Diceros bicornis minor: one gene and its partner. The protein of the gene in region 1 interacts with the protein of each later gene in a pairwise test. Links are inferred from orthologs where the notes say so. Each region holds a gene or a part of one and is shown on either strand. Other genes may lie near its edges.

Region 1 (16,178 bases):
AGACAAAAGTCATTGACTTATGAAAAGACAATACAGTTTAAAAGAAACAGAATATCCTGAGGAATTAGGGCAAATAAGGATAAAATCTTATGACCAAAGAATTCAGTAATAGGGAAGCTGTGGTATGAAAACACCAGTGGCAAATTGTAACATCCTTAAACAGAATTAAATCTAAATAAATTCTGTTAATAGGTTATAATATAATGCATATGTCAAAAAGAAATCTTGAAAGAGAATATGATTATGTAAAAAAGAATTTTACAACATTAATCTGACTCAAAAATAATCCCAATTACAAAAAAAACTGTGGAGTATGGTGAGGAAGAGGAAGCTATTCTTGAGTGTATAAGGATTTCCTAACACTGCTAAGCTACTTTAGCTTGGAAAACAAGGAAACAAAACTTAAAAGTATTTATGAACAAGAACTACAATGAGAAAGCAAAAGCAAAAGCCTTGTAACCTGTGCTGACCTGAACACAAGATTTCTTTCATTTCTCATGTGTTACTAAATTCTGTCTCTCTTAGGAAGAGAAGGCAGCTGCGCCAAGGCATTTTCAAAATCTTATTGGTTCATGTATACAACTCAACATAACTAGAATTACTAACTCTATAAATTCCACATATGAAACGTAAGATAAGAAATTTTTATAAACTCAATATAAAATTGAACAAATAACATAAATAGGCAATTATGAATTACAAGTCAATAATTAAAGAAAAATGTTCAACCTGAGTACCCAAAAAGTGTGACACAATGAGCTACCATTACATAAGCATTTTTTTCTTTTTTAAAGATAATTGTGTTGGTAAGAATATAGTGAAATGAATACCTGTCAAACTGAAGATGAGAGTATAAATTAATACATTGTTTATTCCCTTTGATACATAATTTCACTTTTATGAATTTATACTAAGGAAATTTTAGGTTGTACAAGGATTTATGTAGCATTGTTTATGAAAATCAAAAATTGGGAAAAAACTAAATGATTGATTAAATTATTTTACATTCATACTTTAATGTTATGCTGTCATTTAAAAAAATGACGTCTGAAAAATATTTCTACAAGAATTTAAAAATATGTACCCCTAACTTGGTTTCTTGGTAGCAGGACTAATATTAGATTTTTATATTGGCTTTTTAAAATTCTTTTATCTTTGTTGGGGCCAGCCCGGTGGTGCAAGCAATTAAGTGTGCATGCACCACTGCGGCGGCTCAGGGTTCGTGGGTTCGGATCCCGGGCGCACACCGATGCACCACTTGGCAAGACACACTGTGGCAGCGTCCCATATAAAGTGGAGGAAGATGGGCATGGATGTTAGCCCAGGGCCAGTCTTCCTCAGCAAAAAGAGGAGGACTGGCAGATGTTAGCTCAGGGTCCATCTTCCTCACAAAAAAAATTAAATAAATAAAATTCTTTTATCTTTGCAAATATTATACAATCAACATGTTACTCTGATAATATGATGTTTAAAAAATAGAGGTTATTTAAAAATATATTTTAAAGAAAAATTAAGACCTACCGGCAAAGAAAAGTGTCTTAAAATAAAACATATCTAATAATACTAAGTATTAAAATATCTAATAAAACTCTACTACAGAATCCTGTAATATCCAATAAGCATATTGAAAATAATTCTTGCCTTTAGAAAGGAGCTTTCTAAATTTCTGTGTTGCTGTTAGTTGTTGTTCAGCATTATTAGAAAAAATCATCTGAACCATATCTGTGGTGATAACTTCTTCCTAAAACACACAAAAGAAAATGCAATTTATCATTTAAATATTTTGCATGAATAATATTTGCTGTATCCACTGTCTCTGAAATATTATTGAAGTATAATCTGAAATACATTTTTGTAATATCTACCTCTGGAACAGGTACAGTGGAACTGATATCCGGATCCTGGATAGGACTTTCTAGCATAGATTCATCATTTCTGGGCAAAGAGACATTTCTGCGTTTGAACAACTGTAATAAAGAGAAATCACTTTATACATTGAGCTTTCCATAAAACACTGAATTCCCATAAAATTACATTTTTCATTTAAGTGAACAAAACAAACTAATAATTTTATCATTTAAAATTCTGAATATTTCAGTATTTTCCAATCATACCAGGAAGACCCAAATTATCTATGAGAAGTTAAACTTTCCGGGCTAGGTTAGCTCCTGCCCTGCAGACTGCTTTGGGCCATTCTTAATCTCCAATCTTTTACCAACTGCCCGGCCCATAAGTAGAGTACACAATTACATTTTACAGCATTTGAAAAAGCACATATGCTCACAATGGATTATGAAATGTCTAAGAATTTTTCCAAGAAAATCTTAATTAAAAAGCAAATCTGTTCCATGAGAGAGATAACATATGGTATCTTAACAAACTTAGTATATCAGATTAACAAGGAATAGAGAATAACTTGCAGGGAAAGATGGCCCTATGCTTATTAATTCAGTAGTGGATAAACACAAAGGAAAAAAGAGACCACAAGAAAAAAAATTTGTAACTATGTGTGATGATAGATGATAACTAGATTTACTATGACAATCATTTTACAACATATACAAATATTCAATTATTATGTTGTACACCTGAAACTAATGTAATGTCACTTTTACAGCAATAAAAAAATACAGTTTAAACATCAAGTTTTATTTAGTACTTTTTATTAAAAAATATAAAGCTGAACAAATAATATAAATAGGTAATTATGAATTACAAAGTTACTTTTCATTGAAAAGTCTGGAGGAAATGGTTATAGTTATCTTGTTTCCAAATGGTTATTTTTTAAGTAGTTCAGAAATATCCATTGATAATTTTTATTGTTTTTGCCATAATTTTAGTACCTAGTACAGTTCCGAGCACCTCATGGATGCTTAAGAACTAGAAGTTAAGTCCACGAACAAATAACTGTTCTGTTTTTCAAAAAAAAAAAGAGGAGAAAAGAGACATGGTAAGGTAACTGAGAGAGATTTATAGGTACATCTTCTAAATCAATTAAGGAAAAAAAATCTGGCATCATATTCTTTTTGAGAGATACAAAAATAACTGCTCTTCAATCTGTACACAGTTCTCTTTCTAATCATTCATTCAACAGATTTTTTTTTTGAGTACCTACTATAATATAGTAAGGACTGTGCTAGATACTACAGATAGAGAGATGACAAATTATAATCATGTTTCTAAAACAGGCCTTCCTCCACTTTCTTAATTGCTAGTCCTTTTCATATACTAGATTTAATTTGTGTGAGGACAACACCCTCCTAAATATTTATGAATACTTCTAAATTTAAGTATATCCTGGAATGAAAAATGTTGAGATGCAATCTTTTAAATGACTTTTCTATTCCATATATTATAGATACAAAGTTCAAACAGAGCAGGCTGAGATCTAGATGATGAGACTATAGGAGGAACAATATGAATAGCATAGGAAGATGCTTATAATTAACTTAGGGGCAAGAGCTATGAAAACTGCAAAGCAACAAATGAATATAAGTAATGTTTTTTAGGGGGCAAATTTTACAATGACAAATGGAAGTGACCTAAATAGGCTCAAGAGTAAAAATTTCTTAGCAGTGGGGTAGAAATATGATTAACATAAACGGTTTATCAATGCAACAGAAAAGCCATTCCTGTCAGTGATTAAAATAGCAAAGGATTCTGATTCATGAATTTGCTAATGTTAACCCTGGAGACTAATAAATTAAAGAATAGATTTACGTATATTCAATGTCCTAAAATACTTTTTCATTTAAAATTATCCAAAAATTAACAACAATAAAACTTTTAAAATCTGTACATAATAATGTTTTGTATTAAACAGAATTAAATATTTTAAAACACCTACCTGTTCTTCTCTCTTTTGTTTTCGAAGCTGTATTCCTTCTTCTTCTCTTCGTCTACGCATTTCTTGAGGATTTAGGGCTTTATTCTTATAACTTTTCATTCTGTAGTTATCTTTCCCTGGACTAGCCATGGCATCTTAAGGTTAGGAGAGAAGAAAACAGATACTGATAACTCTGAAAGCAACACGGAATATTTACTGTAGGGCTGCTAAATTCAGGCTCATGGATTAAAGAGATCGGCAAAACCCACTCTGAAAATGAGGCACAAAGAATATCCTCTCACTCCCATATCAAAATTGGAACAAAATGGCAAAATATTTTAGGAATAAACTATCAAACAAATAATAGATTTTCTAAACACAAAGTCATTATCTTAATTTCACTGATTCTAAGATGCACTCCCCCATCCCTGGTATTTTAAACTTTCTGAAGTGGAATCCATCTTAAAATCACTGTCAGCCAGGAAATAATCATGACACAGTTGGGTAAAAAACTTCTAAATTACAGCTTCAGGCAAGATGAGGAAACAGCCAGAATTGAAGTGTCTTAAATTCAGTGAAATATGGTATTAGGCTTCAATAAGCACACCTCAAAGATTTACTGGAGTCTGGCTTCTTTCATTTACTTAAGGCCCTAAGTAAATAAGGCCACGCGGGTCATGATGTGAGTCATGACTTTGATACCAGTTTTGAGAACTTTAGTATAATTACTTCTTTTTAAATACTGAAATATTTCTATACTTTATTGTTAAACAGTTTTATTACAGATGTATTTAAAAACATTAACATTCACATAAACATTATATTGTTAGTATATTTAAAATATTTATTTTATATAAATATGAAATTTTATATTTGAAATATATGTAATTTTTACTTTTAGAAAACGAATTATAAACACTTTTTAATAATAGTATTATACTGATATTTTGCTATTATCTGAAATGAATACTAAATTACTGATATTATAACCTATTCTAGATTTACACATAAAAAAATCAATCTAAAGCAGGGTTTCAACTTGACTTTAATATGAGAGATAATTAGTGGCTACCTAGAATGTTACTCTGATAAATTCTGAGGACATACCCACGTCCGTCTAGAGAGAATGCTGTGATCAATTAGCACTTATGAAGTAAACACAGGAGAAGGAGAGGCTGGCATTTATCTGCCATCTCTGACGTAGAAGAGATAGACTAATGAACTGGCAAATTATATTGTTAGTAGTAAGGTACACTAAAACATATGCATTAAATCCTGTGAGAGCACAGAAGACATAGCAAGTAACTGTGCCTTAGGGAGCTCTGAAAGGCTTCATAGTTATCCCATCTTAAAAGACAAGCAAGAATTTGCCAGGGAAAAGCATACAAAGGGAAGAGGGAAGGAACAAGCATTTCAAGCAGAGAGAATATATGCAAAGGCAGAGTTCTTGAAAAAGCCTAGTAGAACTACACAACAGTAAGTAATTGAGTGTGCCTGAACAAGAGGATGCACGGCGGAACGGACAGAAGATAAAGCTAGAAAGGTAGGTAAGATCACATATGGTTCCTGTAATCTGGTTGAGAAATTTGGACTTGAGGCTAAGGAACAGAATTAAAGAAATTAAAGAGATGGTTGTTGATGAAGCCCTAAACTAAATTAATAGTTGCATTGGAGATACAGAAGACAGACTGGATTCCAAAAACATTTCTGAACTTAATTCAATAAGAATTTTAGGCCAAATGAATATAAGGCATATGTGGTAAGAAGAAAAGGGAGTCAAGGATGACTCCATGGTTTTTAGCTTGAGCTATTTCAGTATGATGCCAAATAACCCAAGACAATGAATACAAATGGAGGATCAGAGTGGTGGCTTTGTTTGCTTACCTGCTTGTTTTTGAGACGAGAATAATGAATTCAATCGTTTTATTTTTTAATTTACATACAGTAAAAATCACTCTTTTGGTATGCAGTTCTATGTATTTGACAAATGCAAAGGCATATAACCATTATCCCCAAAAGACTTCCTCATGCTGCTCCCATTAGCCCTCCTCCTACCCTTAATACCTGGCAACCACTGATTTGTTCTCCATCTCCATAATTCTGCCTTTTCCTGAACTTCACATAAATGGAATAATACAGTATGTAGTCTTGAGTTGGCTTCTTTCATTTAATATAGTGTATCTGTGAGTCATCCATGTTGTTGCTATTTATCAACAGTTCATTCCTTCTTAATGTTGAGTAGTATTCTATTGTATGGATATACCACAGTTTATCCATTCATTAGTTGAAGGACATTTAGGTTGTTTCTCGTTTTGGACAGTTATGAATAAATCTGCTATAAACATTCATGTACAGGTTTTTGGGTAAATGTAAGTTTTCATTTCTCTCGGGTAAATATTTAGGAGTAGAACTGATGGGTAATATGGCAAGTACATGCTTCACACTATAAGAAACTGCCAAACTGCTTTGCAAATTCCACCTGTGCCCCCCCCAACATACACACTAGACACTACTTCTAAGACCATTAATCTAGGCGACTACACTAAAATCTTTCAATATAAATGTTAACCAAATAAAATCTAGCCCCAACAACTCATATTATTTGTTCCTTTTTCTTCTATGGACTAACTTCCTGCCTGTTATTTAACTTGCATCCATTCTCACTGCAGCTGCTTTCAAGGGGACGTTAAGTCCAAGGAAAATGATCTCTCAAGATACCTCACCCAATGAGATTGTTTCGTTGTCTGGAAAATAACGTTCAAGACTGTATTCAAAGGCTGCTGTCTCATACAAGTTATTTTAAATATAAGAAATGCTATTCAGACACTTCAAAGTTGCAGAGCAGAGAAATTTTTTTTCAGTCATAAGCTTGTTTTTTACCCAGCTCTTTGAAAAGCTGTATTGACGTTAGGCACATAACTGGAATCTGAACTGGATTCTAATATCTATTAACGGAATTTCTTGTGTCCGTCAAGCCTCCATTTCTAGGGTTTGGGTGCCTATTAGCAAAATTACAAGACCACACAAAGAGGGGAAGTGTGCTGACTTGAGCCCCTGCAACCAAACTAGCAGGGGACTTAAAGATCTAAAGGACAGAGCTTTTTCTTGTTTACCAGGAAAGAAAGTCCCTTTCCTACAAACTATGAATCACTGAGTGTTGTAATTAAGAGACATCAAGTCAGAAGTCTTTTTGAATGTGTTCAAAAAGCCACGAGTAAACGCCAATATCATATTCTTTTAAGTATCACGATCCCGTTTCCCAGCTTTCAAATTCTTTTCATGTCTTATGCATTATCGAGGAAACACTATTAACTCTTCACCTTGGAAGGGACCTGACAGGATAACCGTCTAACCCCGGCGTGGGGACGTCGGGACCGAGCTCTTCGAGCACCTGCCTCCCGGTGGAGGAGGGCAGCTGGCGGAGAAGAGGGTGCGGCATGTAGGCCCCCGGGGCCGGACCTGCCCTATTCTGGACGCCGTGGAACTTCTAATAAGCCGCCGGACGCACACAGACGCTGAGTCCCGGGAGTGAGCGGCCACGTTTGGCAAGACCGTGCACCGAGAAGAGGAACGACCGAGAACGGGGAAGCAGGGCGGCGAGAGGATGAGAGCGGCTGCCCGAAACTCCTTCCGAGGAGCAGCCCGGCTGTCAGAGGATCTGGACTCCCCGCGCCTTCGCGTCCGCACGGGAAAGGTCCGGCTGCCACGCCCCCGTCACCGCTGTCTCCCGCAGGGGAACCCGAGAAAAGCCCCGGTACGGCATGGTCCTCAACCCTCCGCAAGGAAAGGGGTGAATAGACAGTGGCCCCAGGAACTAGTAGCTCCCACAAGGACCAAACCCGAGGCTCACCCAACCTGACCTGTGTCACTCCCACTTACCCATTAATGTGGCACTAACCCGTGCCCCCACTTTCCAGTCCCCGGCTGCGGGGTCTGCTGCAGATAACAGTAGAGTCGCCACTCCGCCCCTAGCGTGCAGCCCAACGACCAGGTTCGCAATTCAAGATGGCGGCCATCTGCGCCCCTTCCCCGAGACCCCGAGGCTCGGCTCCCAGAAGCCCTTGCACGCGGCAGCGGTGGCGGCGGCGGCGGCTGCAAGGACCGGCGGAGGGGCGGAGAGAAGCGCGCGCCCCAGCCCCACCCACCGAAGGCGGAGCCGGCGCCTGCGCCGACTCCGGTATTTTAACCCGACTGCGGCAGGAGTGTGTCCTACCTTCCCAGTCCTCCATGGAGCTGTCTTCGTTCATCACTCACTGTTCGTTAGTTCGTTCATTCATTCATTGGTTCATTCATTCCTTCATTCTACAACCTAGTATTGATTGAAGGCCTAATCTGTGCCCGGCACTGCTTTAGGTACTGGAGCTACAACATTGTACACAACGGATAAAAATCCCAACATCATCGAATTTTACAGAGACTCTTTCTTTCTTCAGCTTCATTAACTTTTTCGTATATGCTCTTCTCGTTTGTTTCAAGCTTTTCAATTTGCCATTCAATTATAGTATTGGATTCTGTGTAACATCTGGATTTTTGACAACAAAGTAGTCACTGATATATGGAATGAATAACTCCAGATAAAGTACTCTAAATTATTATAACACACGTATAGCCTTGTAACTCACCCTGGAGTTCAACAAACAGTATTAATAACATTGTTTTCCAGGTGCAATGCTAGGCACAGAATACAAAGTTAACATATAATTCCTGTCCTGAAGAAGCTCCTATTTTCCATCTCTTGTTCTTTTTGTTCTCTTTTCTGAGAAATTTCGTGGGTTCTTTGAGCTCTTTATTGATATATATATCTAAGTAATCCTGCTGTTGTATTTTTTAATCCCAAGAGCTATTTCCTATTTTTGATTCAGGGATTAAATATCTTCTCTTGTCTCGCTGAAGACGTTAATTGTCGTTTCCTTGGAGTTTTTTTTTTCTCCTTCATTCATTTTCTCCGTTTCTTCAGAGTTCATTTTTTTTTTTTTCTTTTTGATCCCTTTGGTTTTCATCTTTCCTGGTGATTGTTGAGTATTCATTCATATTTAAGTGAGACACTAAAGAAACCTATTGTAAGTCTACATATCAGTGGGGCTTGTTTACTCACCAGTTGTTGACCTCCCTACAGAGTGATAAAATGGGACCGGGTGCTTTCATTGGAGGACTTTCTAAAAGTCATGATCTGTAGGTCTTTTCTCTTGGACGAATGGTTTTCGCTGGAGAAGAATTTTCCAATCTCCTGACTTGGAGGCACAAATCAGACATCAGAATGTGATGGGGGAAAATGGGTAGGGGCCTCATAATTCAGAATTTAGTTTTCACTATTCTCCATTTTCAGTCCAACACCTTGACTCCCACCCTTAGCTGTGCACTTTGGACTTCGTAGCCTTTCCAGTTCATTTTCTTTATGAACTAAAGCTGTATCCTTCTGTCTGGGAGGGAAAAATGAGTCACTTGGCAACCAGGTAATAGAGGAAATCTGGAGGTAGGGTTCAAACTGCTCCTTATTCAGACTTTTCAGCAAAATGTCCCTAATTTCAGGCCCAAATTTAATATATTTTTCAGAAGTATCTAGTCTTTAATTTCTGAACATTTCCAGCATTTTGGTGTATGAATTAACCTGTTTTTTGTTGACTTCTGTTGTTAGCTAAGTTAGTTACTACTCATCCATCCTTTCTCTAGCTTTCAAAATTTGTTAAAATTGGGCTGGCCCGTGGCTTAGCGCTTAAGTGCGCTTGCTCCGCTACTGGCGGCCGGGGTTCGCATCCAGGGTGCACACTGACGCACCGCTTCTCCAGCCATGCTGAGGCCGCATCCCACATGCAGCAACTAGAAGGATGTGCAACTATGACATACAACTATCTACTGGGGCTTTGGGGGAAAAAAAAAAGGAGAAGGATTGGCAATAGATGTTAGCTGAAGAGCTGGTCTTCCTCAGCAAAAAGAGGAGGATTAGCATGGATGTTAGCTCAGGGCTGATCTTCCTCACAAAAAAAAAAAATGTTAAAATATCATTAGTTTATTTTTATTATTATTATTGCTTTGTCATTATAGTAGATTTTGAAAGGCAGGGAATATAAACGTACATGTTCAATCTGCCATGTTTAAGCACTCAACCCACAGAATGATTTTTAAAAATATACTGTATATCATCAGATCATGCCACTCTCCTATTTAAATACTCCAATAGCTTTCTACAAAGCCCTACATGATTTGGCCCCTGTCTACAACTCTGACCGCATATTGTAGCCACTCTTCCTTCTAGAACATTATACTCAGGTCACAAAATGTTCTTTTTCTTCCAGCCTTAGAGACTTTGTTCTTATTATATTCTCTGCCTGGAACACTCTTCCTCCTGTTGGTGAAAGGTTTGTTCATTAGCACACTCACCTCCTCAGAGAGACTTTTTCTAACTACATTAGTCCTTTCTATAAATAACCAAGCTTTATTTCCTTCATAGCACTTATCATGATCAGTTTATTTACTTGTTTATTTTTTCTCTGCCTCACTAGAATGTGTTTCAAATGGCCTATGTATTTTGATTAGTGCTGCAGCCCCATTTCCAAGCAGAATGCCTTTCTAACAGACACTCATTAAATATTTGTTGAATGAAATAAGGACTGAACAGTAAATATAAGGTACGTGTGATCTTGTGATTCTGAGGCAAGAACCTGGCTTAGTCATCCCCCATCTGCAGAGCATAGTTTGGAGTTTGACACCTAGTAGCATTATAAGCCCTTTAGTGATAATAGAATGGAGTGCTACTTAATCAGGCCCTAGACAACGGATATCGTGGACTCGAATAATGCCCTAGGACCAGCCCTGGGAATTCATTCAGAAAGACCTCAGAGCCTAGTGTGTCTCCTGGTAAATCTGGCGTCGGAACCCTGATGGGAGGATGCAAAAATGACTACGACTCCCAGAATGCACTACAACCCAGACCGGCAAGGAGGGTGCATGCCGGGAGTCCTTCCCTTCTGGGGAAGAGGAAGAACATTTTTAAATGTGAAAGTGGAGGTCGGAGTTTTTGTTTTTTAGTCGCTGGGTCTTTTCCTGGTTAACTGTGTATCTCTGGGTGTAGGGAGGGCCTGCCTCAGTGTTTCAGGCCGGGAAAGGTAATCGACGCCGCGCACGCACTCCTCTGCCGGCGAGCCAGACGGCGGCAGCGGCGGGACCCAGAGAGGAAGCCCAGCGTAGAGCAGTGTGGCCGCCGCCGTATCTCCGGGCCGGTAGGAACGGACAGTCCCAGCCCTCATTCCTCAGGCCCACGGCTTTCCCCCAGTTAGTGTCCGTCCTGGTTTCATGCCCTGGCTCGGGACGTTGGCGCGGAACTTCGGGCAGACTCGGCCTTGGGGCATTCCGGCCCTGTCACCGGCCTCCTTATGTCTCTCACGCACTTTTTCTGATCAAGGTGTTTGGGAGGTCAAGTGTATCCTTCTGTGTCCAGCTTTGTTTTAGCCGCGGGAAAAGAGCAAGCTCTCTGGGTGTGACGTTCTTTCCTCTGGGGGTTTGAGAGAATTTCCTTTTAAACTCAGAGACTATTTTCACTTGTCTGAAGAAAAATGAGAAAATAAGGGCAATGTAGGGAGCTCTTGTAAAGCTAAATTTATTTAAATAGTTCTCTTATTTTTCTTTTCCTGTTTGTTTTTAACTAGTCCTTAGCCAAACGATGGTCTGTAGTAGGAAGTACGAAGATTGTGGCGAGGTTTGCTTTTTAAAGATGATTTCTTAGCAAAATCACCTTTTTGTCGGTAGCCAGTACTTTATTAGTCCATAAAACCCAAAGTGACTGCTGATTTAGTGCCACTCATTTTATAGACCGAACCTCAGGGAGGTGAGGTGTCTTATCCAAAATTCTAAAACCTGAGATTATAACCCAATTCTCTTGTCTCTGGAATCAGTGCTCTTTTCAACTATGCGCACTCTGCTTTTATTCTTTCAGTTGAGAGTACAGCCTCTGGAACCGGAATAGATTAGCAGTTTGGCTAACCGTTTTCTGGCTGTGGTGACATATCTCAACTAGGGCTTTCGCCATACAGATTAATTGTAATGGTACTTAAATGAGTTTGATATCTGTAAAGCTCTTTAACTGGTAACTACTATTAATTATGATGTTTTTATTTAGCCTCCGCATTGTTAACAACTTTAAGGTTTTGTACTTAGATACATCAGTTGATAAGATTTCTTCTCTTTATTTTCTCTTACCTGACTCATCATACCTGGGCAATTTTATAAACGTTATTTTATCTCTACCTTAAACCAGACACACTTTTTGAAATATTTTAAAAATTATTTATTTTGCAGTATTACTGCATTTGTTTTGTTGAAACCGTAAACTTGAAATACAATAGTGAGTAGTTGAGATTTATAAATAAGTTTGTAAATTTGAGGAACAAAAAGTACATTGAAAATTTCTTTATCTAAATAATCCAGTTTTAAATAACAAGCATCATTCTTCTAAATCATTCTACAAAATGCATTTTCTTTTTCTTCAACTCTTACTTTCAAACTTAAAATAATATTGTTTTTTTCTAGCTACCTGATGTACCATGCTTTCTTGTGATATCTGTGGTGAAACAGTAACCTCAGAACCAGACATGAAGGCTCACCTCCTGGTTGTTCACATGGAAAACGAAGTTGTATGTCCATTTTGCAAGTTGTCGGGTGTGAATTATGATGAAATGTGTTTTCATATTGAAACTGCTCATTTTGAAGAAAATGAACTAGAAAGAAACTTTGAGAGGATCAATACAGTGCAGTACGGAACTTCAGATAATAGGGAGGACAACACCCTACAGTGTAGATCGGAAGTTAATTCAAGTATTCATTCAGCTTGTGCATCTAATCATCCGAAAATTTCAACTCAAAGCTTGCCTAAAGATGGTACTTTAAAACATAGCGCTTTTTATTCAGAAGACTTAACTGGATCTAGAAAATTCCTAAAAAGTAAAGAAAAAGAGTGTGACCTATCCAAAATAAAAGGATCAATTTATGAAACAATGTATAGTCCTCCCGAATGTCCATTCTGTGGAAAAATAGAAGATTGTAGTCAAGATATGGAAACTCATGTGAAAACAAAGCATGCCAATCTTTTAGACACTCCATTAGAAGGTAAAGTGTTCATTTTCTATACTAAGTAACAGTAGTCTCAGTTTAATATGTGGAGTCCTGAAAGTTAGTTTGTAAATCAGGTTACTACAAATGTGTTTTTAAATTCACTTTATATCTATAATTTTGTTCATTTGCCATTATTGTAATATAAAAATACAATAATGGAAAAGAATTTTGATGCAGATAATAAATGTTTCAGCTACATTGAGAGTAGTTGTAGAACCTTTCTGAGGAGAAATAGACTCAGAGTCCAGTTTCCAGAGGGCGTTGTTTTATTTACCACCAGCCCAATGGCATCTGGATTGTTTTGGATTTTGATTTTCTGTAACTGAGTTCACACTCTGTGATTTCTGTTGTTTTAAGTTTGTTGAAATTTGTTTTATGGCTTAAGATACGGTATACGGTCTATCTTGGTATATGTTCATGGACACTTGGGGAAAAAAGTGTATTCTGCTGTTCTTAGGTGGAGTGTTCTATATTTCTCAGTTAGATCGTGTTGAGTGTGTTCAGATCTTCTATATCCTTGCTGACTTCCTGTCTAGAAGTTCTACCAGTTTTTGAAAGGAGATTTTTGAAGTCCCCAATTATAGTTGTATATTTGTCTATTTTTCCTTTCAGCTCTATCAAGTTTTGTTTCATGTATTTTTTTTTTTTTTTTTTTTTTTTTTTTTTTTTTGTGAGGAGATCAGCCCTGAGCTAACATCCGCCAATCCTCCTCCTTTTTCCTGAGGAAGACGGCCCTGGGCTAACATCCGTGCCCATCTTCCTCCACTTTATATGGGACGCCTCCACAGCATGGCCCACCAAGCAGTGCGTCGGTGCGCGCCCGGGATCCGAACCAGCGAACCCCGGGCCGCCGCAGCGGAGCGCGCGCACCTAACCGCTTGCGCCACCGGGCCGGCCCCTGTTTCATGTATTTTGAATCTCTGTTGTTGGTGCACACACATTTAGAATCATATGTCTTTCTCTTACTGTTGAGTTTTAAGAGTAATTTGTATATTTTGGATACAAGTCCTTTATCAGATATGTGTTTTGCAAATATTTTCTTCCAGTCTGGGGCTTGTCTTTTCCTTCTCTTAACAGTGTCTTTTGCAGAACAGAAGTTTTTACTTTAATGAACTGCAAGTTGTTTGATTTCTTCTTCCATGGATTGTGCTTTTGGTGTTTTATCTAAAAACTCATTGCCAAATCCAAGGTCACCTTTCCTATGTTATCTTCTAGAAGTTTTGTAGTTTTGAATTTTAAATTTAAGTCTATGATTCATTTGAGTTAATTTTATAAAAGATGTAAGGAGAGTGTCTAGATTCATTTTTTTAAATTAATAAATATTATTTTTTAGAGCAGTTTCAGGTTCACAGCAAAATTGAGCAGAAAGTACAGAGAGTACTTGTGTACCCCCCGTCCCTATATACTCACAGCCTCCTCCACTATTGACATCATTTGTACCAAGTGATGCGTTTGTTACAATCAATGAACCTACATTGACACATCATTATCACCTAAAGTCCATAGTTTACATTAGGGTTCACTCTTGGTGTTGTATATTCTACAGGTTTTGTCAAATGTGTGATGACATATACCCACCGTGGTAGTATCATTCAGAATAGTTTCACTGCCCTAAAAATCCTTTGTGCTCCAGCTGTTCATCCCGTCCTCCCCCCAACCCCTGGCAACCACTGATCTTTTCACTGTCTCCATAGTTTGCCTTTTCCAGAATGTCATATAACTGGAATCATACAGTATATTGCTTTCTCAGATTGATTTCTTTCATGTAGTAATATGCATTTAAGTTTCCTCCATGTCTTTTCATAGCTTTCTAGTTCATTTCTTTTTAGTACTGAATAATATTCCATTGTCTAGGTGTACCACGGTTTGTCCATTCACCTACTTGGTTGCTTCCAAGTTTTGGCAGTTATCAGTAAAACTGCTATAAACATCTGTTTGCAGGTTTTTGTGTGGACAGAAGTTTTCAATTCATTTGAGTAAATACCAAATTCTGTATCATTACTAGATCATATGGTATCAGTGTGTATAGTTTTATAATAAACTGCCAAACTCTTCCAAATTAGCTATCCCATTTTGCATTAACACCAGCAATGAATGAAAGTGCCTGTTGCTCCACATCCTCCCCAGCATTTGGTGGTGTGAGTGTTCCAGTCCAGATTTGACCATTTTAATGTGGGTATAGTGGTATCTCATTTTAATTTGCAATTCTCTAGTAACATATGATGAACATCTTTTAATATGCTTACTTACAATCTGTATATCTTCTTTGGTGAAGTGTCTGTGAAGGTCTTTGGCCCATTTTTTAATCTGGTTTTTGGTTTCCTATTGTTGATTTTTAAGAGTTGTTTTATATTTTGGATAACAGATCTTTATCACGTGTCTTTTGCAAATATTCTCTCCGTTCCTGTGGCTTGTCTTCTCATTCTCTTGACATTGTCTTTTGCAGGGCAGAGGTTTTTTACTTTAATGAAATTCACTTTATCAATTATTTCATACATTGATCATGCCTTTGGTGTTGTATCTTAAAAGTCATCACCATACCCAAGGTCATTTAAATTTTCTCCTATGTTATCTTCTAGGAATTTTATAGATTTGCAATTATCATCTAGATCTATGATCTATTTTCAAGTTACTTTTTGTGAAGGATGTGAGGTCTATTTCTAGATTCATTTTCTTTTCATGTTGATATCCAGATGTTCCAGCACCATTTGTTGAAAAGACTGTCTTTGCTCTATTTTACTGCCTTTGCTTCTTTGTCAAAGATCAGTTCACTATATTTATGTTAGTTTGTTTCTGGGCTCTCTATTCTGTTCCACTGATCTATTTGTCTGTTCTTTTTCCAGTACTACAGTGTCTTGATGCTGTAGGTTTATAGTAAGTTTTGAAGTCAGATAGTGCCAGTCCTCCAACTTTGTTCTTTAATATTGTGTTGGCTGTTCTGGATCTTTTGTTTCTCCATATGAACTTTAGAATCAGTTTGTCGATATCCACAAAATAGCTTGCTGGGATTTTGATTGGGATGGCATTGAATCTACAGATCAAGTTGGGAAGAACTAACATCTTGACAATATTGAATCTTCCTATCATGAACAAGAAATATCTCTCCATTTATTTAGTTGTTCTTTGATTTCCTTCATCAGAATTTTGTATTTTTTTCTCATCATTAAGTATGATGTTAGCTGTAGGTTTTGCAGATATTCTTTATCAAGTTAAGGAAGTGCCCCCCACTTCTAGTTTGCTGAGAGTT
Region 2 (16,178 bases), on another chromosome or scaffold:
CTTATTAGATATATGATTTGCAAATGTTTTCTCCCATTCCATTCATTGTCTTTTCACTTTCTTGATAGTATCATTTGAAGCACAAAAGTTCTTAATTTTGATTAAGTCCAATTTATCTCTTTTTTCTTTGGTTTGTTGTGCTTTGGGTGTCACATCTAAGAAAGCTTTGCCTGGGCCAGCCCTGTGGCTTAGCACCGACGCACCGCTTCTCTGGCCATGCTGGGGCCGCGTCCCACATACGGCAACATAGGCTGTGCAACTATGACATACAACTATCTACTGGGGCTTTGGGTGAAAAAATAAATAAATAAATAAAAATTTAAGAAAGTTTTGCCTAATCCAAGGTCATGAAGATTTACTCCTATGTTTTCATCTGAGTCTTATAGTTTTAGCTCTTATATTTGTCTATGATCCATTTTGAGTTAATTTTTCTATATGGTGTGAGGTAGAGGTTCAACTTAATTCTTTTGCTTGTGGATATATAATAGTCCAGCACCATTTGTTTAAAAGACTATTCTTTTCACACTGAATTGTCTTGGCACCCTTCGGTTGTCAACTTTGTCATTAGTTGCAAACTGACTGACAAAGATTTTTAGAAGATTCTACCTAGTCTAGGCAAGGGTGAGGGGAAGTCTTATACACTGCTAATGGGAGTATAAAAGAAGTACAGCCTCTGAAGGGCAATTTGCCATGCATATCCGAAGTTGAAATATATATACTCTGATTCAGGAACTGTATTTCTAGGAATTTATTTCAAGGAGCTAATGGTACAAAGATATTATTTATAATGGTGAACAACTGGAAGTAACCTAACATCTATCTGTAGGAGACTAGGTAAATAAATTATGCTACATCCATACAATGAAAAATGACGTTGACTTTAAAAATGATGAAGTAGATCTATATTTATTGACTTGGAGCAATCCCTGTGACCTACTGCTAAGTGAAAAATAAAGGCATGTTACAAAGCACCATTTGTGGTAGGATTCCATCTATATAATATTATATATTTTACATATGCATGTACATACATAGAGATAGCTCGGAAGATATTCACAAAAATGTTAACAGTGGTTGTCGCTAGGTAATGGGATTTTGGCTGGCTTTTTTTCCTTCTTTATACTTTTTGCATTGCATGAATTTGCTGCATGAATATGTATTGTCTTTATATTCAGAAAAAGAAAAGCTATTTTCATTTTGTAGAAGAATGTCCTCATGGAATATATATTGTAGAAGACTATTCAATGGCATGGAAATATGTTCATAATGTATTGTTAACTGAAAAAAGCAGGTTACAGTATCATCCCAGTTTTGAAAAATTTTTTTAAATGTAATATATACAGTATTTCCTAGGTACTATGACATTTTTTTTCACTACTTACTATTTCTCAAATAAGGATGTCTCTTCTAATCAATATGAATATTTAATGTAGTGGGTTCCCACCTCCCTGCCTCCCTGAAAAGCTGTTATTAATGAGATGATGCTTCTGGCAATCTGAGACTTGAGAAAGTGCCATGTGTGTGTAGAGAAAAGACTGGAGTAATAGACACCAAAATGTGAGCAGTGCTTAGTCCTGAATTGAGCTTTTTATCTTCTTCTTTTTGTTAAGGATAGTTTCCCGTTTGTCTATAGTACATGCACAGGTAAACATAAAAAGAAACCAGGAAAGTGGCTGCCCTGCTTTTCAAGGAAGAAAGGGTGTGAAGGTATTGAAGACTTTTGGCCTCCACCAAAATAAAAGACTAGCAAATCAGGGAGCATACAAACCGCCTCAGTAGTGTCCGAGTCTAGAGTGAGGACTAACTTGCATGCCCACCGAGGGACCCCTGGCCGGGCAGGAGCTGGCAGAGCAAACTCGAGAATAGATGGGGGAGTTCAGTCAGCAGGGGCAGGACTCTTGGATCAGTCTAAGTTCTGTGCGGACAAGGAAATCCCCGTGAGGTAGGAGAGGGTCCGGATGGCGGCAACACTGGCTAATTATGGAGGACAGGGATGCCCAACACTGTGGGCCACTCAGATGTTGTCCAGTCTAGCTCAGAAGCACATTCCCAGCTCCTCAAGAGAGACCAAGGACTGTGTGAAACAGAAAATGAGTCCACCCCTTTCGAGAGTCTAAACATATTGGTTTGGGGCGAGCCCTTTCCTCAGCCAAAGGGGCAGGGTAACCACAGGAGCTGAAGGACATGGAGCAGAGGTAGCAGACTGGTGGCCACAGCAGAACTTCAACAACCCCAGAGGAGGCCAGCAAGCTCTGGGCCTCTGCCAAGGGTAAGGGAGGGACCCAGGCTTGCAGTAACTGTGGCCCGGGGCACAGAGGAGAATGCCAGGCACTGTGCCAGGTAGGAGCTTCACCTACATGATCATGTCTAATCCTCACAACAGCCCCAAGATGAGCAGCCTGAAGTTCAGAAAGGTTATGTGGTTTGTCGAAAAGCACACAGCCGGTAAGTGATGGAATGGGATTCCCACTTCACTAGACTCCTTCTCTAAAAAGGGAAAAACATTGAGCACAGTTAATACTCATATTTATCATGAGTATTAACTCATTATTTACTGTAATGGTAGACGGAAAAAACAAGTTTGAAAAAAATCTTCAATCTGATTCCAATATTGTTTTTTTAATTAAATATGTACAATGTAGAAAAAAAACGCTGCAAGGATATACACCTTAACGGTGGATGTCTCAATGGTAAGAATTTAATTCTTAAATTTTTTCTGTTTTTTTTTTCTTTTCCCCCACAATCAGCATGTAAATCTTCTTAAAGCAGAGAAAACAAAAAGTCTTTTCAGAAGCAATTGTGAGGACTAGTGGATCAAAGTAATGAGAATGAATTACAGTGAGACCTTAATGACAGAGAAATCCAGGCTCTTACTAGCTGTGTGAGTTCCACTTGGCTTCGCTGGGCCTGTTTGCCAAACAGTGAAAGGGGATTATGGTCTTGTACCAGTGAGCTGTTGCCGGGATTAATTGAAACGCAATATACACGAAAGTCCCCCGCACAGTACTTGGCATAAGCATGGTGCTTAATAAATATTAAACCTGACTCTTAGTAGTCATTGCTCTTCCTTGCTGCCCCAGGAAGGCCTGGCACCTACAGCTGTTTCAGAGAGCAGAAAGGAATCTGGTGCCCTTCAGAGGGGCCCCTGGATCTACAGCTGCCTACACACCTGACACTCCCCCTCTGTTTTTACCGTCTGGAGACTAATAGAATCTCATTCCTTAACCCACTTTCACCTAACTTTTTGCTTCTCTCTCTCCCTTTGTCTCAACAATCTCAGCTGTCTAGATAGTATTTTTGAGTACAGGCGACCGACATTATTTTCAACATAACATGCATTTGCAGAGCATCTATGTTCTAAAGACGGCCCCAGGCTCCTGCTCTTCATTCCTGTCATTCAGAAATATTTGTATGAGCTCAGTCTAGTTGAGAATTTAGATCCTTCAACAACTCCCACGTGTTGCCTAACTGCTAACAGGTACACATACCATGTGGTGGAAACTCAGAGGCACATGTGTATGGGAGAGGAAAGGAAGAATGAAAGTATTTAAAGAGTAATGATTTCCTCACCCTATATTTACATCAGCTTCGTACACTGTCTTGACTAAAGAGAAACTGTGCCCATTCTGCTAAACTGGCTTCAAAGCCAGTTAAAACAATGCTTGAGAGGGGCTGTTTCCTCTCATCTGCAGATGTATTAAAGTATGTTCATAGCCACAAAGTTTGTGGAAGGCTGGGTCATCTGATGATGTTGCTGATGCAGTGGTGTGGAAAGCAGGTCCAAGGAGTTACAAAGTAGCTCAGCGTGTTCTCCTAGGACATTTTGGGGTTTACTGGAATACACACACATTCTGATTAACAGGCAGTTTTAAGACTCAAAGGGGTGCCAAAACTGGGCATTATTTGATATATTTTTTACTTATTAGGCAAACATTAACATCAATGGAATTAAAAAGAGATTCACCCAGAGTTGACTCCCTAACAAACTAAGCTGTTTTCACTTTTCCTTATTCCCTTCCAGCCCTTGTTCAAATCTATAAACCCATGAACATGATACTAATTGTGGATTAGATACAATTAAATACTCTACTCCTTTCTCACACCCAGATGCGTACACAGAATGATGTTAAGTACAGCAATATTCAAACTCAGGGCACTGTGACAACAGCCCCTTCAGGCCTGTGGACTGACAGTCAGTGGAAGATGTTGGCAGGGCTGTGTGACACACCCTGTTCTGCCTGTGTTATTTATGCCTCTGGCAGTGAAACCCCTGACAAAGAAGCATGTCACTGGAACACATGCTCTTTGTTCACAGAGGTGCATGCCAGCACCGGCTGTGTCAGAGGGACAGAACCGGGTCTGTAGTCTCTCCTCCTTTGGCTCGTTTGCTTTCTTTTTATTTGCTGCACATTGTGGCTATGTTTATTAATTACTTTGTAGCTTAATCTTATAAACACACATTTATCTTGTGAGCTGTGTATCATGGGGAAAGAGTCCTTCATACCCTTGAGTTGGTCATAAAAAGAGAACAGGGTTCCAAGATTTGCCGTTTCTCCCCAAAGATCAACAATACACCTCCTCCACGAGCACCAGGTTACCTCTCTCCAGCACAGAGCTACGACGTTCCAGTCTCCTTGGGCACCTCCACTGTACCTGCAAGTCGGCGCCTGTGGGCTGTTTGGTCTTAAAGGCCCTCTACAATTGTTCCCAACTGACTGTTCCAAAGCAGGCCCCCACACTATGACTTCATTCCAGTCAGACTGCTGGTGTAGCAGAAAAGATGGCAGGCTTTGGAGTCAGACCCATCTGGGTTTAAACCCTTGCTCCAGCTCTTGTTGGTCACGCAGCTCAAGGTTCCTGAGCTTCAGCTCCTCATCTGTGAAATGCTTAAAATACAACTTACTTCACAGGCACAGGATTAAATGAGAAGGAACATATCAGGCCCTAAAAGTGGCTGCTCAATCTTGCTAATCAAGTTAGCTCACGAACTGAGTTGCGAGTTTTTCGTAAAAGCCTTCATCTCATGGCCCTGTGGTTCTCAAAACCTTACAGTCACAGACCTCGTGTGACATCCTGAAGAGAGTTCCCTCACCGTTTTCCCGTCACAGAGATGTCTGCTAAGACTAACATTTTAAATACAAGACTCAGGAAACAACACACTAGAAAGTTCTTGCCTTTTCCCATAATCCTTCGAAAACTTTCTTTTGCTTTGAAATTTTAATTCATTCGATACTTTAAAAATTGCTATGTGGTTTTGTTTGCCACTAAATGAACCTAGGTAAAATGGAAGGGGAGAGTCTTTCTTAACTTTAAGAAAACCTTAGGTTCATGCACAGAATTGTAAGTTTTTTTCTATTCATAAGTTGTTCTCAATCTTTGGAGCTTCTTATCTATATTAGAATTAAGATGGTATCTGATTTGACAAATCACGTATTTACTTATTTTACGCTGTGTATAACGTTGCGTTACTTTCGGGAGGTCTGCAAAGCAAACAGTGCTCTAACCCGGACTCTCAGGGTGCTCTCCGAGCCAGCCCATTACAAAGGCTACCTGTGAAGCTTCACCGAATCGGAGACCATCAAGAATTTACCCAGCTCACAGGGGTGCCCTAAGAAATAAATAAGATAAAAGTCTGCGGGAAAACTCTGTAAAACTCCGAGGCCCCGTTAGAAATGCTAATTGCTGCCTTCGCTAGCCCATATTTAAATGTTAGAAAACCAGGGAGATCCTCCTGAACTCAGGGACGCTCGGCTCCTCTGTGGCTGGGGCAAGCGGTCTGGGCTACCCCCGGCCCCGAAGGCCGACTCCGCCCGGTGCCACGCGGTACAGCGCCGGCAGGCCACGATTTCCGCCCCCGACGGGGGTCCCCGCAGCACTGCCACCACCCCCCGGCCACGGAGACAGCCGGGTTCAGGCCCCACACTGCGTGGGGAGCTTAAGGTGAACCCGAAAGCTCCCGTCCCGCGCTTTCTGCTAGTCTCCTGCCTTCGCGGGCGTCGGGCTGGCTACGTCGAGCCTCTGCGGACGGACCTGGCCTTAGGGACCCCCGAAGCCGGACTGTGCAGCCTCCCCCAGCCCTCCCGGCAAACGTCCAAGCCCGGCCCGGAGAGCCGCCTCGAGGCGCGGCGAGCGGGGGCCTGGGGGTCTCAGAAGCCCCCGAGGAAGGTCTTACATCAGCCACCCCACGTGCGACCGGAGGGAGGGAGGGAGGAAGCCGCTGCCGTCCCCCGGGCTGCGCCTCTCCCCCCAGCCTCCGCCCCTCCCGCCGCGCGTCTCCCCGCCCCGTCCCTGGTGCAGCCGCGGCCGCCGAGCCGAGCGGCGCCGCGCGGGGCCGAGTGGAGCCGAGCAGCCGCCCGCGCCGCGTCGCCGGTTTAAGCGCAGTGCGGGCCCGCGGCCGGGGGCGGCGGTAGTGAGACCAGCGCCGCGCTCCAGCCCCCTTTTCCCTCCATGGTTTCTCTCCGCTCCCGCGAGTAACTTGGCTCCGGGGGCTCCGCTCGCCTGCCCGCACGCCGCCTGCCGCCCGGGACCGCGCCGCCGGCCTCTGCCGCGAGCAGACCCCTTCCGACGGCCCTCGCCGCGCAGGCCGGGACGCCTCTCCCCCCTCCGCCCCCGCCGCGGAAAGTTAAGTTTGAAGAGGGGGGAAGAGGGAAACATGGACATGAAGAGGAGGATCCACCTGGAGCTGAGGAACCGGACCCCGGCCGCGGTAAGCGGAGCCCCCCGCGGGCGCCCTCTCCCCCGATGACTTGCATGTAATGGTGGCCACCTGCGGGGCCCGGGCTCGGGCTCGGGCTCGGGCTCGCCGGCCGCGGCGCGGGAAGGGCGCAGCTCGCGGGCTCGGACGGGGAAGGCAGGCGGGCGGGCGGGCGCGGAGGGGGGAGCGAGCGCGCGGGGATTAACTCTTTGGCGCCCGCGGACCCGCGGCCGTCCGGGGAAGGTGGGGGAAAGCAAACTTGGAGCTCCTCGCCCGCCACGGTCCTCTCCCCGCCAAGCGCGTGTGCGTGTGGCCGGTGGCGAGGGAGGGCGGAGGGGGTTGTGTAACGCTGGGAGCCATGTTTGCAGCCTCCCGGGATGCGCGGCCCGGCGGAGGCCGGGCCTGCCGAGGAGGCGCGCGGCCATCCGGGCTGGGCCCGCCGCGGGCCACCGGGCTCCGCGCGCCCCGGGCCGCCGGGGAGGGGGCTCGGGCAGGGGCTCCTCCGGCCGGGCCGCGGTTGGCGCCAGCCCGGCCGAGGACGGGTGCCGTGGGGCTGGGGGCCACTTTCGCCACGGAGCGGGGCGAGCAGCCCCCTCGGGCGCCGGGGGGCTCGGGCGGGCGCGGCCTGGCGCGCGCGGGGCGGGGGAGGGGCGAGCCCGGGCGGCGGAGGTGGCGCAACTGCCGCCCCTCCGGAGGCCAAGTTTGAAAAAAGGATGCGGTTCCCGCCATTTTTCAAGCCTAAAAATAAAACTTTCTCCCCCCTTCCCCTCGCTACCCTCGCGCCCTCCGGGCCTGCCCCATTCCTGGCCTCCAGGGCGGGCGCCGGTCGGGTCGGCCGTGGCGGCGGCCTAGCACTCCCCCCCCCCCCGCCGCCGCCGCCGCCGCCCGGGGCCCCTGCCCCGGAGGCTGGCCCCTCGGTGTGGGCGGGCGGCGGCTCCTCGCGCCAGCCGGGCCGCGCCACGGCCGACACAGCGCCATGTTGGCGGGCGCTCGTCTCCCTCCGCCGCGTGAGCCGGCCCGCGGCTCCAGCCCGCCCCCAGCGCGGGCTGCCGGCCGCCGCTCCCCGGCCGAGCCCGCGGCTTGTTTTCCGCCCGCCCTCCGCGCCGGGGCTCCGCTCGCACTGGCGGGAGCCGCGCGCTGCGGCCGCCGCCGCCTCATCTCCTTTCGGGCGCTGCCATCCCCTCCCCCTTCTTAAAAGGGCAACGCCAGGCGGCCGCTCCGCCGGGCCGGGCTCCGGGGTCTGGCGGGCCTCGGCCGGGCTCGCGGGCCGGCGGCCGCTAGCCCCGCACGTGCTCCAGGGCGGCTGACCGAGGCCGGCGCCCGCCCGCCGCGGCTGCGTGAGGCGGGCGGCTCTTTAAGAATCGCTTCTTTCTTCTCCGCTCCGGCCCGCCCCGCGAACTAGGGCGGCTTCCCGAGGCCGGGCGCGGGGCCCTGTTCCCCGGCCCCCGCGGGGAGGCCGCGCCTCCGCCAGGCCCGCTCCTCGGGTGAGCGGCGAGCTCTGGCCCGCGGGAGGTGCCCCCGCCCGCCGCGGTCCAGGGGTGCGCGCCTTTCGTGCAGTCAGGTCGCCGTGGGTAACAAGTTGCCAACTTGTGGAAACTGGTCCACCGGGGTTTACCTTGTGCGCACGAGGGTTTTGAGGTCGCCACAAATGAAGTGCGGGGTGGGCCGCACCGCGTGGCCGCCCCTCGCTCCCCTGGAGGACCTGAGGGAGTGGGCGACTCCACTCGCTCCCCCCGGTTTGAAGGTTGAGGTTTGACCACAGTCGCCCCTGCCGTCCATCAGTCAGACATTTTGTGTCGGCCACGTGCTAGTATATCGAACTGTTCAGCGTCTTCACGCCGTAAAACTTGAGTCGTTCATTGTGAGGAGCAGCTCATTTCAGACGTTGGCATTGTGACTGCGTAGCTGCAGATCGGTGAATGTGGACTAATTAAATTTAGCCAAAATTTCCAAAAGAAAAGTAGCACATGGATCTTCAAAGTGTTTTAAAATCGAGAATTTGAATTTTGAATGTGCTTAAACTAAAACGCTTAAAATACTCGATAAGAGCAGTGTTGTTCCCTCTGGGAAATAAAACTGGGTTGATATTCCCATTATAAGTGATTTTTTTCATATATGAAATAACCAATGATATTGCTTTTTAAAATGCATATGTATGTGCGAGTTTTAATTTTTCAAGTAGTCGACTTAGGCCTTACTGGCTTGTCAAAGATGGGCCAGTCATGTGGCTATTTAATTAAAATTAAATTAAAAGATCACTATCCACATTTCAAGTGCTCAAAAGCCACAGGTGACTTGTGAGTACTGTATTGGACAGCGCTAGCCTACAGAATCCGCTGGTTTATTAAACAAACACTTGAGTACCAACAATATGCCAGGGCCTGTAAAAGCAGTGTGAACAAGACAGAGCAGCCCCTTCCCTCCTGAATCTTCAGGACCTGGTGGTGCTTGCTGCGCTGGTGCATGTTATGTGCCTTAGGAGAGTGTTGTGGGAGCCAGCCCAGACTGGGGGGGTAAAGGCTCCCCCAGGCCTCTGGCAGGGAGACTGAGACCAGTGGCAGTTAGGTTCTTAGGAGAGGAAAGCTTTGACCTAAAACTGAAGCATTTTCAGGAAAAAAAATGCTGTAGAATTAGAAGGAAATTTTAAGAGTTAAAAAGTGTTTTGCACAAAAGCATCATCCTTAGGGCAAATGAGTAGTTCCAAGATCTTTTAAAACCAAAGTCAGCTGGTGACATGGCTCCTTAGGTGTGTTGTGGGGCTAGCTGTTCGAGAATAGGCCCTGTTCTCTGGCCTACTCAGGATCGGGGATCCTGCAGGCTCTTGTCATTTGGGGAAACAGGAAGAACCCTTTCTTCATTGAATGTGCTGTTATAAGATGGACAGGAGACTCTTAAATGCACAATAGTGTATCCTATAGTTGACCTTAATGTCATCAAGTGAGATCTAAGAGGAGGAGGGTAAGTGGAGCTTTGATCATAAGTGATTTTGGCTTTTGTTTTTGTTTTGGGGTTTGAAGAAGACCCTGGTAACACTTTACCTTCTTGTATTCTTTGGCCAAAGTACATGAGACCAAGATAATAGGTTTACTTCACCTATTACTATATCTTTATTCCTTGTAAACACAGGTACGTTTATTTCCCTAAGGGGAGACTTGTAAAGAAATATGTAATTCAATTTTTTCAAAGTCCACAACAGCTCTTGATATCAGAGGTGTGTTCTCATAGTGGAAAAAATGGCCTAAGATGGCGTTTTAAAGTAATCTTCATAAAGAATGGTAATCACCATTTAAAAATATCTTATAGGCAAGGATAGGAAGTATTTTATGTAAAATATTTGTATTGTCCGTTACCTCACTGAGAACATATTGTACAGTTCTAGAACATGCCATATACACCACAGAAATTGGTGGTATTGTCAGATGTGAAAAGAGACAATGATGTGCAGTAGTGAGATATAAACCAAATTTATCATATTTCAAAACTGGAAAAAACCCGTGTTCTTTATGTGAGGCTCTCATCCTTGCATTACACCAAATATGCCACTCTGTTATGAGCACCTCGTTAATAACTACGAATCACGGGACAGCTATCCTTGATATTAGCTGTGTTTGAGTTTTTTGTTCAAAAAACTTAGATTTTCCTCAGTTTACATCTTAAATTGTTTTCCAATTTTTGGCATCTGTTGTTGTGTCTATTGTGATGTAATTTGGAGCTCAATGGGATATTCTAATTGGTTGCATGGCAACTAGTTGGGTTTTTTCCTTGTATAAGTAATACATCTTCATTGAAGAAAAATTAGATATCGATAAGCAAAAATAAAAAAATAGAAATCTCTCACACACACATTCTACCATCTAGGCATTCTCGTGTATAGTCTACTAGAATGTTTAATTTTTTCCAAACTCAGGTAATGTTATCGAGGCATATACTGTCTTGTTGATTTTATTTTTACATATATAATACAGTAAATATCTTTCCATGTTACTGTTTATTATTTTACAACGTCATTGTTAATGTCTGCATAGATCATAGTTTAACCATCCCCATTGGGTGGTTAGAAGTTTTTTGTGGTTTTAAATAGCACTGAAATGAACATCTTGTCACGTGAATCTCTGTCTTCTGCCAAATTGCATTTCGGAATGGTTCCCTTCTTTACCTACCCACCAGTAGGATATGGGTGTTTCCTTGCTTCATGCCAACAGTTCTGCCACCTAAACACATCTGAGAACCACTAACATAAATTTGTTCTGTCATTTTGAAAACATTCTTTAAAATAATAGAAGGGTAGAAGGTTTGAACATTGGTTAACTCAGGATGGAAGTTGGCAAGGATGGCAGGAGTTACTTTTTCTTTCTACATTTTTGGATTATTTCACTTACTACAATAATCGTGTAAAGAATTGATAACTCAAAATGACCTTTAATTCCTCCATCCCCCCCATAACAATTATACCTGTTATAATTGGGGAGGGTCACCCAACCAGTTAGGTAAAATTGATCTTTTTTTTTTAGAGTAGCTGGGGGAGTGGGAAGTGAGCACAAATTGGAGAGGATGAAAGGAAAATCACCTGGATCACCTCTGGCCCCCTAGCTCCTATCCCCCTAACTTGGCTACAATAGAGTTCAGATTTTTCAGTGAAAAAGTAGTAGAACACACTGCTGTTTTTGCTGATTGCTATAAAAAACAGAAACAAGAGTTAAATAAGAAATAGTATGGATTTTTGGGTTTAGTTTTTAAATGTTTAAATTCATGTTTGAGAAAAAGCTAGTTTAATTGGAGAATGAGGGATGAACAAGAGTGAATTGGGCCCCAAAAGTTAAGCTATCGGTCTTTGAACGGAAGGCCGGCTAAGTCTACCTTGGACCAGATAGCTGCCTAAGCTGTGCACACAAATGCACAAGTGCCTGCCTGGCCTTCCCTCCTTAGATGATAGCCCTGGCAGGCTTGGGGATTTGTTTCTTCCTCTTGTGAAGGAGAAACTAGGGCCATTTCTCCTTGATTAGAACCTCTCATTTATTCTGGATCTAGATTGGGAGGCCGTGGGATTATATGGACACCTCCCCCCCACCCCTGCTCCCTCAGTCTGGATCCCCTCACAATCAGGAAGGAGTGGGGGAGAGAGAGGACTTAGTTATCTCAAATGCTGCTGACACAATGCCTGAGAACACTTCACCAAGGTCCTGCTTAGAGCCTTAAACAGGCTAGAAGGGTGTGATGGCCGGCTTTCCAGACCTGTCATCCTCAGGCTCAGCCCTAAGTAGGGCCCTCCTATGGTCTCTGCTTTCTGCAGTAATTCTCACTCTGCTCTGTGCTTATTCCCCAGTAGCTCGTCCTCTTACCCTGCCTCTGGAGGTAGCATGTTTCTTTACTACATCCTTGGCCTTCCAAAGGTCAAGGGACGTGCGTCCTCTGCTGAGCGGTACAACCCTCTGCCCTACTCACCCCGGTAAATTACCCCAGTAATTCTGTTGCCTCCTACTCAGGGAGAAAATTAAAGGTCTCAGGTGTGTATTCCCTCAGCTTCTTGCTCTTCCATTTTGTAAACTCACCTGCACCTGAACGCCTCCTAGCCTTCTCTTCTCCACAGGAAGAGCTGCCCTACCTCCAACAAGAGTAGCATGATAGATCTCACTTTTAATATTCACTTTTTACTACTTACAGTTGAACAATTTTTTATGTTTACTGATGATTTGTATTTTTTATGGCTTGTCTGGTTTTTGTCAGTGTTTCTTTTGGGGTATTTTTTCCTCACTTGGGGTAAAAACAGTATTCTCAAGAAAAAGATAAATGCAAATACTTAGAATTTTCATATATCAAGAAAGGTCACAAAATTAAAAGTTAAATAAATTGGAAGAGAATTTTGCAGTAAGTGTTAAAAGAGAGGTTGGTTGCCTTTTAAATAAAGAATTTGTAAGTCAATAACAGAGACTCTTTTCATATTCTTTCACCTAGCAATAGATTGTGAGGAAGCAATCCTAATTACAGAAGAAATTTTACATAAAAAGATATTATGGCATTATTTGTAATAGGGAAAATTGGAAACATGTTCAGTAGGGAGGATTGTAAAGTAATTTATGGTACATCCATACACTTTAATTTCTTTAGCCATTAGGAAATATTCAGAGTTGTTATTTTAAAGTATGCTAAATAATATAGTTTTATCTCACCTATGTTTAAAATATACAAAGACAGACTGAAAAAATATACCAAAATGATAGTGACAAACAGTATGCTTTGCATTATGTGATTAGGCTTATAATCGGAGAGCGGGATCTTTTTAATCCAAGTTTTCTTTGTATTTCATCATCTGCTGATTCCTCTGAAATCCTGGCACAAACCCTATGCAGCACTCTGACAAACCTGTGACCATTTTTTCTTCATTCAACAGTTGTAAAGGATCTTTCTCATACTAGGATATAGTGGTAACTAAAACAGACACGACCCTGCCATCATGAAGCTTCATGAAGCTTAAAGTCTAGCAGTGACTTTTTTTACCTTTATTTTTTTAATAGATTAATATTCTCATCATTGAAATACTAAATAAAGTTCTATAGAAAAGTCTCCCAGCGGCTCATTTTCACTCCCTGAGAAATTTTATGTACATGTAAGAAAGTGAATGTGTGATCTGTTACATAAATAACATACATTCTGTACAGTTTTCATCCCACAGTATATCCTGGAAATGAGTCCCTTGTTGATGGGCATTTAAGTTTTCTAATTTTTTCAGTCCTTTTTCAATAACTTCTCATGCCTTATGTCATACACCTTTCTGGGAGTTTGAAACTAATGCTTTACCTTTGGGGGTACCGGTCCTGATTCTTCTTAAGTCTCCTTTGTAGGATCCCCCAGGGTCGGTCTTCTTCCTAGGAATTTCATCCTTTCGCCTCTACTTCTGCCCTGATGACACCCAAATACAGAATAACCCAGACCTCCCCTGAACTCCAGCCGTGTCCAGACTGCCTGGGGATACTTTTACCTGGACGTCCCCTGGGAACCTTAAGCTTGATATCCCTTGTGGTATTCATTACATACCTCCTCAACAAGCTGTGCCTTCCTTCTTTCCATCTAGCTACATGGTTCCTGTTTCTCTAAACCAGAACCTCAATTCCTCTCCTCCGTCTTCCATACCCAACAACTAAACCTGCAAATTTGAACCACTTTCTTTTTTCTTTTTTTTTAAAATAATTTTATTTATTTATTTATTCCCCCAAAGCCCCAGTAGATAGTTGTATGTCATAGCTGCACATCCTTTTAGTTGCTGTATGTGGGACGCGGCCTCAGCATGGCCAGAGAAGCAGTGCGTTGGTGCGTGCCTGGGACTGAACCCAGGCCACCAGCAGTGGAGCACGCGCACCCAGCCGCCAAACCACGGGCCGGCCCTGAACCACTTTAACATCTTTCTTTTTCTCCCACTTTCCCCTTCTTGATTCCTTTTCTGCTGTTTGGTTCAGCAAACATGTTCTAACTCATGTTTGAATGCTTTATGGTAGTTTTTGATGACCATTTCAGCAAGTGAACTGAGAGGCAAAATGGCTTAAGAGGCAACATGGCCAACTCTAATTCCTCCTCACTTGGCTTTTGGCATATTAGTGTCATTCTGTATATAATCGTAGAAAATGCCTCAAACCAAATGGAAACATTTTAGCTGTATTTCAGTATAGTACTTAGTGGGTGGGCAGTTACAGTTGACCTTTTTTTTATGGTTTGTTGGTTTTACTTTTTTTTAAAGATTTTATTTTTATTTCTTTATTTTCCTCCCAAAGCCCCAGTAGATAGTTGTATGTCATAGTTGCACATCCTTCTAGTTGCTGTATGTGGGACGCGGCGTCAGCATGGCCGGAGAAGCGGTACGTTGGTGCGCGCCCGGGATCCGAACCTGGGCCGCCAGCAGCAGAGCGAGCGCACTTAACCGCTACGCCACGGGGCCGGCCCTATTATTTTTGATACAAAGGAAATACATGCTTGTAAAAAACTTAGTGCAGATATGAATAAAGTAAACTGAAGGTCCCTGTCATTCCCTTACTCCCTTTCCCCAGAGGTTCCTTTCTCAGCATTTACTGTGTCCCAAGCGCTGCTCTCTACAACTCTATGAGGTGGGTAATATTATCTCCACTTCACAGATAAGGAGTCTGAGGCACAGAGAGGTTAAGTGACTTGGCCGAGGTCACGACGCACGTTGTAAGTGGCAGAGCCAGGGTTTGACCGCAGGCATCTATCTCCGGAGCCCAGCTCTCCTGGGCTCCACCTCTTAAGTTTTCAGATGTTCTGATTTTCATCTGAAGAGGCAAGAATGGCAGAGGGGAGGAAAAAAAGAAAGAAAAGGTGTAATGGGCCTGCGTGCATCCTGAAACCAGGGCTTCTGAAGAGGTAGTAGGGTAGTGAGAAATAGTAAAGAGTTTCTGGTGTTGTGGGTATCACTGACTCTCCAAACCTATTTCCTTCTCTGTAAATGGGGGGAGGGGGGATGAAGAGTAAGTTCTCCATAAATCATAGCAATGACTAGAGTAGTATCTTTGGATTTTGTGGGGGGGGGGATGAAGATGTTACTAGCTCCTGTCCTCATTTTAGAACCATCAGCATCTCCCTTCCGTATACAAGTTTGATTAATGCTATTAAACATGGTAGATTTGCTGCATGAATGCCTTTGGCAGTTAAAGCTGTTAATTTGCATTACTGTAAATTGATCAAAACGTGTTAAAAAGTTGCAAATCTCAGAGTCAAGCACAGAGCAAGAATGGCAATAGGGATTAATCATGGTAGATATTCACATAGTAGACTGTTTATTAAATAATCAATATTCACCATCTTCAGATGTGACCCCCTTGGATGGATTTGAATTCTGAATTTTAGGACCACCAAAGAAGGAGATTTTATGGCCTGAAAAAAGCAACCTAATTTAATGTCTAACAGTTCTCTCCCCTAGAAATATCTTTCTCACATGTAACCCAAATTGATCTTTGTTTTGAATTAAGGCCTCTTATATCTTGATTCCTTCCTCGTGTCAAGATAATCTTAGTAAAAATTAATAAAACTAGAAGTAGAAATGCGTACTGCAGAAACCTGTAGCCAAAATCTCTTAATGATCTTGATAGGAAAAGTAAAGCTTTCCTCTTTTCCTGTGTCAATCTTCTGGGCCTTGAGGTAGACTCAGCTACTCTGTATTTGTAGTTAGGTAAAGCCACCCCTTGGGGAACAGACCTGAGAAAAAGAAATAAGGGGGATATAGTTTCCTCACTTATATCTTAAGATGTGTAGTTTCTGTCTCTGGAAAGTAGAGTTTAAATCTTTATACCATGGTGTAACATTGCACCCTTGATATCTATTAGTATATTGTTACTAAAGGCTTAATCATTTTTCATTTATTTATAACTGATCTAGGTCTAAGTAGAGACTGCCCCTACATGTGGGTGTTTGCTGAGTATTTATGGTTGGAATTTTTGCGTTGTTCTTTGTTTTCTGTATGTTTTTTTAAACTTGTCTTTTT

The links.
Region 2: the proteins of KPNA5 (region 1) and ANP32B interact in binary tests that used the Homo sapiens proteins (3 or more experiments, as listed by UniProt). The two-hybrid records come from large-scale screens. The link is inferred for Diceros bicornis minor from reciprocal best matches to the Homo sapiens genes KPNA5 and ANP32B.

What each region holds. Positions count from the first base shown.
Region 1 is NC_080762.1:19,220,220-19,236,397, forward strand, and holds the start of KPNA5 (importin subunit alpha-6), read right to left. Parts: upstream 7,845-16,178; 5' UTR 7,710-7,844; coding exon 7,706-7,709; intron 3,982-7,705; coding exon 3,848-3,981; intron 1,968-3,847; coding exon 1,866-1,967; intron 1,742-1,865; coding exon 1,642-1,741; intron 1-1,641. Other genes in the region: ZUP1 (zinc finger-containing ubiquitin peptidase 1), read left to right, coding at 12,364-12,925. UniProt on the Homo sapiens protein: Functions in nuclear protein import as an adapter protein for nuclear receptor KPNB1. Binds specifically and directly to substrates containing either a simple or bipartite NLS motif.
Region 2 is NC_080767.1:8,235,261-8,251,438, forward strand, and holds the start of ANP32B (acidic leucine-rich nuclear phosphoprotein 32 family member B), read left to right. Parts: upstream 1-6,410; 5' UTR 6,411-6,652; coding exon 6,653-6,706; intron 6,707-16,178. Other genes in the region: HEMGN (hemogen), read right to left, coding at 5,551-5,579. UniProt on the Homo sapiens protein: Multifunctional protein that is involved in the regulation of many processes including cell proliferation, apoptosis, cell cycle progression or transcription.